Linked DNA regions of Macaca fascicularis. The protein of the gene in region 2 interacts with the protein of the main gene of each other region in a pairwise test. Links are inferred from orthologs where the notes say so. Each region holds a gene or a part of one and is shown on either strand. Other genes may lie near its edges.

The links. The genes of interacting proteins can lie anywhere in the genome.
Region 1: the proteins of EEA1 (region 2) and RAB5B interact in binary tests that used the Homo sapiens proteins (3 or more experiments, as listed by UniProt). The link is inferred for Macaca fascicularis from reciprocal best matches to the Homo sapiens genes EEA1 and RAB5B.

Annotation. Positions count from the first base shown.
Region 1 is NC_088385.1:62,753,803-62,757,899, reverse strand, and holds the start of RAB5B (ras-related protein Rab-5B), read right to left. Parts: upstream 2,873-4,097; 5' UTR 2,807-2,872; exon of another isoform or gene 2,727-2,806; intron 1-2,726. UniProt on the Homo sapiens protein: The small GTPases Rab are key regulators of intracellular membrane trafficking, from the formation of transport vesicles to their fusion with membranes.
Region 2 is NC_088385.1:99,818,960-99,822,609, forward strand, and holds part of EEA1 (early endosome antigen 1), read right to left. Parts: intron 2,151-3,650; coding exon 1,820-2,150; intron 1,118-1,819; coding exon 1,016-1,117; intron 1-1,015. UniProt on the Homo sapiens protein: Binds phospholipid vesicles containing phosphatidylinositol 3-phosphate and participates in endosomal trafficking.

The DNA of each region.
Region 1 (4,097 bases), about 37 Mb from region 2:
AACCTGGGAGGCGGAGCTTGCAGTGAGCCGAGATCGTACCACTGTACTCCAGCCTGGGTGACAGAGCGAGACTCGTCTCAAAAAAAAAAAAAAAAAAAGATGGTAATATGAAATGCCCCAGCTGTACTCTGACTCTTGAGATTTAGAGGAAAACCGATTTCAAATCCAGATAAGCTTGGAGCTTCTTGGATCCCCACAGAAAGACACACACTGTACTCCAGCCTGAGCGACAGAGCAAGACTCTGTCTCTAAAAATAGAAGAAAAGAAAAGAAAGACAAATACAGGGGGCTCTTAGGAGAACCATCATCATCATGGATAAGAAAGAGATAGTCAAGTAATGTGAACATGCAGAGACCATGAACATCCAGAGACCATGAATTTGAGATAAGGCTCTGAAATTCCTTTCTTTAGCAGAGATGACAACAATTGTCCCAAACAAAATGATCCTTTCTCCCCATAAAGTTTTGTTCCATCTCTTTGGGCATTTCCTAGGACACCCAGCACATAACTTGGGGTGTGTGTGTGTGTGTGTGTGTGTGTGTGTGTACTGAAGGTGAATAACACACAGTACAGCCCTCTGCTTGTTGGACTTGGTAGAAGACAAAATGAACTGTGAAAGGAACGCAATAAATAACAGAGTATCATCCCAGAAGGGAAAACTGTAGAAAGAATAAGACTAGAGTTTGGTGAGAACATGAAAACAGAACTGCCTTTTGTGGCACATCCCCCAAAGCAAAGCAAGATAAGTCTGATTTGCTGTCTCTGATCCTTGACCTTCCTAAATGAAATATGAGTAAGGTATGTACGGGAGGATTTATACTTCTTAAACTGCTGAACAGCTTCCATATTTTAAAATATGAACATATTATTTTTGTAATTAAGAAATGTAGTGATGGCCGGGTGCAGTGGCTCATGCCTGTAATCCCAGCACTCTGGGAGACCGAGGCGGGCAGATCATGAGGTCAAGAGATTGAGATCATCCTGGCCAACATGGTAAAACCCCGTCTCTACTAAAAATACAAAAATGAGCTGGGCGTGGTGGTGCGCGCCTGTAGTCCCAGCTACTTGGGAGGCTGAGGCAGGAGAATCTCTTGAACCTGGGAGGTGGAGGTTGCAGTGAGCCGAGATTGCACCACTGCACTCAAGCCTGGCGAGAGAGTAAGACTCCGTCTCAAAAAAAAAGAAATGTAGTGATAAAATATATTGGTAGAGAAGGGGAAAAGGAGGAAGCACAGTAAGGGAAAATCCAATAGGCTCCAATCTATGAGGGACTAAGAAGGCTAGCAGACCATTAAAAGTATGCAGGGAGGAGGGTACTCCACTCTTCTTTTTTTTTTTTGTTTTTGGAGACAGGGTCTCATTCTGTCGCCTAGGCTGGAGTGCAGTGGCAAGATCGTGGCTCACTGTACCCTCGAACTCCTGGGCTCAAGTGATCCTCCTGTCTCAGCCTCCCAAAGTGCTGGGATTACAGACGTGGGCTACTGCACCTCTGTATCTTTTTCTCTACTCACCATCTTCCCCAGATACTTCATAGTTTACCCAACTTTTTAACAGCACAGAAATCTGGGCTTTTGAAGTAGACAAAGAACAAGGGGTGATGCCAAGCTTTTGAAATGGAATTTCTCACTCTTCCCCAAATCTCTTCCTCAGTGATATCACCTCATAGTTTCGGACCTGTTAACTCCATTACCTGCCTGGGAAATACCCAAGTCAAGTCTAAGTCCCACAAAAGTTTCACCAACTATAATCAGAAGATTTCCTGATGGCTGAGGATCTCTAAGCCCTTTTCCCATGTAGATAATGAAATAGATTCTCAGTTCTAGGAGACACGGTATTCACTATAGACCACATTATTAAGTGGGAAAGAAGTGGACAAAACATGCCCCCAATCCAACTCTTGGCTCTTTCATAGGACAGGAAACAGTAAGTTAAGAAACAGACCGCAATATAGACCAGTTATGAAGCCAAGAGAAAGTGTAGGGGCTGAGTTTGGAGCAGCCAACAGTCATGGAAAAAAAAAAAATTACTTTGATCTTCATCCCTACCCTGGGAGTTTTAAAAAGCTTCAAATTACCACATCTAAATACTAAAGGGAACAAAAGAGTGTGTACTCCCAAGACCCAGAGCCTCCAGCCCACCCTTCAGCATTCCCAGAAGCTCCCATAACTGATTCAGGCCCTGCTTCCATTACTTCAACTACCTTAGTCTTCTAGATTAATACAGCCTTCTTCATTTTCCCCAGTTCTCCCTCACTGAACCCAAATCTCTCTCAGCTCAACACCATAGCACCCTCAGTTCTTTTTACAATAGGCACTTTCCCTGAAAAGAACGCTTCTTTCCAACTAAGAACCCTTCTCAGGCCCTTCCAATGAACCTCTCTGGAGAGACCCAGCTCAAGTCACCCCCGGGGCTCGGGCGACAGGTCTGACCCCTCCTCACCTCCCAGCAAATGGGCTTACCTCACCCGCTGCCCTGTCCCTTTCCCCAGCTCCTCCCTCTTCAGCGCTGCTTAATGAGGCCTGCCCCTCCCCTCACTCAAGCACCGAGCCTCCAGCGCCCGGCCCTCGGCCTGGCCGCCGCCACAGCCAGCCGCCTTCCCGACTCACCAACTTCGGGGTCCCAGCCCGCCCAGTCCCCTCCTCAGCGCCCCCATTAGGCCTGCCGGAGCCCGGCCCCCTGCTCCCCTCTCCGGTGGGCCACTCTAACCCCTCGCTTAGGACCACACCCGCCTCCGCTCTCAGGCCAGGTTGCTCTCATCTCCTGGGCGCTTCCGCCCCTGCCCTTTGGGGTCCATCAGCTCGGTACCTGGGGCTCCGTCTCCCCCGTCGGCCCCAAGCCTGTGTCGAACAGACAAACAGCTGCAGCTCAACCAAACCCTCCTGCCCCTCCTTCTCCTCCTCGCCCTGGGGCGGGGGTTCCAGCCAATAGCTCGATTACCCGCCTACCATCGGGGGGTGGGCTATATGTGCACTCATCCACCAATCCTCTGGAGAAAGGCGGGTCTCTTTGGGCGCTGTCACCAACAAGTACGAGCAAGGGACTCGACAGGCGGGGCCACAAACCAATAGCAAGGGAGAAACCTCGAAGATGGACGAGGTAAGGAGCCATTAAAGAGCAAGCTCCTGAAGACAGGGGGCGGTACAGTGCCGACAGGCGTATGTATCCACCAATAAAATCTCGACACCCCATGACCCCGCCTTTTGACTCATAAACATCTAATCAGGTGAGTGAAGGAGGCGGGTCAAAGTGAAACTTTAACCAGTACTACGAAAATACGGGACTTGACTGGCAGGCGAGGGGTTGACAGGAGCCTTAGGAAGGCCTCTATTGACCTTCGCCCCTCCCCCTGGACTTGGCCGGGGCTGGCTCTAGTGCCCCGCCTTCTATGACAAATTCGCGGGCGTAAAGGGAAATACCTCTTCTAGGGATCCGGAGCCTGGGAATTTAAGTAACCCTGACATCAGCGCTTCCTCCCTTTAGTGAGGCTTCAGGGGACAGGAGTATTTGGGGTGGCCGGCGGGCGGTCTGAGATGTTTTTTGTTGGAGTGAGACAATGGCAACTACAAGAAGTGGTAGCTTGGAGACGCTTTTTCAGAATCGTATGTAAATGTAAATAAAATAATCTTTGGAAAACTTTGCTGTTTGTGATATGAAACAGAAAGGAAAAAGGGCGGGCTTACTGGGAAATGCAGTGTCGAGAGGCAAATTCCCCGGGAGCCCTTTTCCTGCCGCTATGTATGTGCATGGGGGTGTGTGTGTGTGCATATATGGTGTGTATGTGGTGTGTTGTGTGTGTGTGGTATGTTGGCTGGGGGAAAGGAAGTTTGCTGGTGTGTGGAGAAAGTAGGAAGTATATAGACTTCAGTTTCCCCAGCCATAAATAGGAACGATAATAACCACTTTGTTCACTGTCAGCACTAGCCAAAATGGGGTGGGGTGGGTGGCCATGCACAGAGAGATTAGGAAAAGGGGTCCGAAATCAATGATCACATATACATATTCATATTCTGTTTCTCACCATTCTTTCAGTAAATAGGAAAGAGATGAACTATAAAACTAGGCACATTTTTTTAATGAACTACAAACTAAATTACAA
Region 2 (3,650 bases):
ACCAAGGACAAAATAATAACTAGTATGAGCATTTACTGCATTATAGTCAGTGTCCTGAGTACTTTAAAGATATTAACACATTTATTTCTCATAATAACTCTATCACACAGATTCATGTAGACTCTATCATATAGAAACCAGAGCACAGAGATTAAGTATTTGGTCTAAAAGATGGCAAAATGGCATAGCTAATAAATGGCATAGCCAGAATATAAATTTGTACAATCTTGATTCAGAACTTGGGCATGAAGCAATTATTTGGACAATCTTGATTCAGAACTTGGGCATGAAGCAATTATAATTTTGCTACTTACATGGCTGGCATCTACAACACAAGTCTGCTTTCAATCAACAACTAGAATACAATCACATCAAATACTTGTCAGTACTATGTCTTGCTCCTTTATCAAATCCGATTTTCTAGAAAGTTGCATGCCTGGACTCTAGCAGCTCGCAGGTATGGCTTCAGAGAGTAACAACCATATATTATATCCGTTTGTTTACTCGTTTGCTTGTCTGTTTTTGCTGGAAACAACAGAAGCGCTAACTACAGAAAAACATTTTGGTTGTTCTACAACCATTATCAAGTATACATTAGTATGAGTATAAATGTCCATGAATTAAAGAGCCATAAGAGTCCATGAAATAAAGGTCATTTCTATGGAAAGCCTTTGAAGATTTTTTTTTCAACCATAAAAATGGTCCTTAACTCTGTAGTTAGCTGACTCAATTTTCTACCTTTATTAATTATATTTCTTTATTTGGACCTTTGATTATAAACTAGCTTAAGTCTTTTTAATAGTAGGTAAAATACAAATAACAGTTTTAAACTATATACATGATTTGTTATATTTCAGAGAAATAAACCTATGACCTAAATATCAATGTGAAAATGTTTAATTTTCTTAAAACTATAAAAAAAATTATCTGTGGAAATGCTGCCAAGAACAAACATACTTTATATATTTATTTGAAAATATTATACATTTATGTTACAGAAAAAAGAAAATCTTACCTCCTTCTCTTTTTCAAGTGACTTTTTCAGTTCCTTCTGTTCCCTAAGTGTGTCGTCCATCTGCACTTGAAGTTGATGCTTTAATTCTTTGCAAGTTTTCTCCTTAAAAAAAATGAAAACTATATTACATAAAAAATATTTGTAATAACCTTAAGAAGTTTAGTTTATAACCTTAGTAAGAAACACACGAGGAAATAAACTAAAATTATCGATGAGCTGAGACAGGATCATCCATTTCAATGATAAAACTAGGAAAATATTACAGAAATAATGGAGGAGGGACAACAAAACACTAAGGGTTTTGATCATCAACCAAGTCACAATGACATATTTTAAACAATATTAAGATGATATCTTAGAACACTTTAGAAATCACATTTTATGTCACACAATTCATTGTAATTAACTTGCCACACTACTTTTACAGCAATGGGCTTCAAGAAAATGGAAGCAAGAAAACTTAGAAAACAATAAATTAAAAAGTGATCACAATAGGAAAAGTGTACAGATAGAAAATGTTTTCACCAAACAGGAAGGAACATAACACACATGAGAAAGACTGTGATATTCAACTGAAAATATTCTTGGCCTTCAGAAAATGGTGTGCTCACAGGTGCATACACACCCACATTATTATCTTGGGCTTCTTCTCAGGTTAAGCAATCCCAATTTATTTCCTCATAAGAACTGCTTTAAATTATTTAAATGTGGAAAGAGAAGCAAACTGTGAATTAAGCAGAAAAATAAGTACATTTTAAATAAAATAATCACTTCTACTTAAGAAAGTAAATGTAAACTACTAACCAAGTCTAATATAGCGGCTTTTCCTTTCTGATTCTCCTTTTCAAATTCACTTTTGGAGTGTTTCAAAGAATCAGAAACTTTTGACAGTTTCTCCTTTACTGTAGAAAGCTCTGTCATTAAAGCTTCTTTCTCCATTTTCACTTTTTGTAGTTCTGTTACTGTTGTTTGAATTCTGTTATTCAATTCCTCGTGCTGAATCTTTGCTTCTTGACTTAAAGTTTCAAATTCCTGTTTCAGGACTTTTTTTTCTTCCTCTTGCTTGGTAAGCTTTGGCTTGATAATTTCAAGGGCTTGAGATTTTTTCTGTAGATCCAATCTTGTACTGGATACTCTAAATATTTTTTAAAAACTTTTTAAATAACACATAATTTACTATTTCTAATTTACCATTCAAAATTAATGATAAACAATTACTGAGTTCTGAAACTTTTTTCGTATAGTTCACAAGTAAAATCTAATTTCATAAAATCATACCACTGAAAAATACTTTAGAACATCTCATTTGCTCATTTAACAGATGTAGATTATTTTTCCCAAGTCATATAAGTTAGTAGTGAAGACAAAACTATCTAAGCTTCCTGACTTAATGCATTTTTGTCCACTACAACTAATTCCCAGGGAAAAAAACTATGTATCACAGACCCTTTAGTCTATAACAGCCAGAAACGTTTTTCCATAAAGAATCTATTTATTATGTTAGTTCTCAACAGAGAGAACTTTGTCTCTTTCCTTGAAAACATGAAACACATTATGTGTGACAGTTCTTAAACTTCAAAATATTTATGGTTAACCTAGAAAAAAATAAAAGTAAAAAAATAAAAGAAATATTTTATTTACAATATAGAGGGAAGACAAATGATTTACTTTAACCCTAGAACCTAGCAGATTATACAAAGGATTTGTTATCATTTGTTCCTTAATATAGGTCTCTTATACACAAATGAAAAAAGCAACAAGAATGAAGAAATAAAGTTATAGCTTTAGAAAGCTATAGACTTTTATTGTTTTCATAAAAGAAACTATGCAAATTATACAGCAAAACCCCCGATACAGTATAAATAACAGCCATTTTTAAAGTCAAAACCAGATGCTAAGTAACAGCATTTCTAGAATGCACACTAGTTCCAATGTAATCAGAATAAATTTAAAACCAATAAAAATAATTCAACAATATGTTAAAGGGAGGTTGTTAAAAGATGTACTAATAAAGTATTTGAAATTGTGTATTAATACAAAATCAAAACTGTATTTATACCTCAAAATCTGATTTTTTAGTTCTAGAAACACACTTTTACCTCCTTAAAAATAGCTAGAAAAGATGTTAAAGCTTAATAGGTTCACAAGATACTATGCCTCCCTGATTTTTAATGATCCAAATGGAAAAGTCATTACACTAATATTATTTTACCATTTTAATGTAGTTAAAATCCCTGTCAAGCAACCCTAAAATTAAGACTCAGTATATTTATTTATATGCTGCTTAACTTTTTCAAAATTAATTACAAAATCATAAGATTATGTGAAACAAAGAAGGCAAAACAGAAATAGAGGCTTACATAGTCACTGTGAAACTTCTTGTTTGTTTTTTTTAAGTAACTCAAAGAAGAAATACATGAGTCCACAATCATAGTTGGAAATTATAATATCTCTTTCTTAGAAACTGATAGAACAACCAGAGGAACAAATTGGCAAGAATATAGACAATAAGAACAGCACCGTAATTGTTATTTATAGGCCACTCCACCTAATAACACAGAGTACATATATGTGCACATGGAAAATTAATTATGATAAGCCATATGCTGGGCCTTAAATAAGACTTATTTTCAAA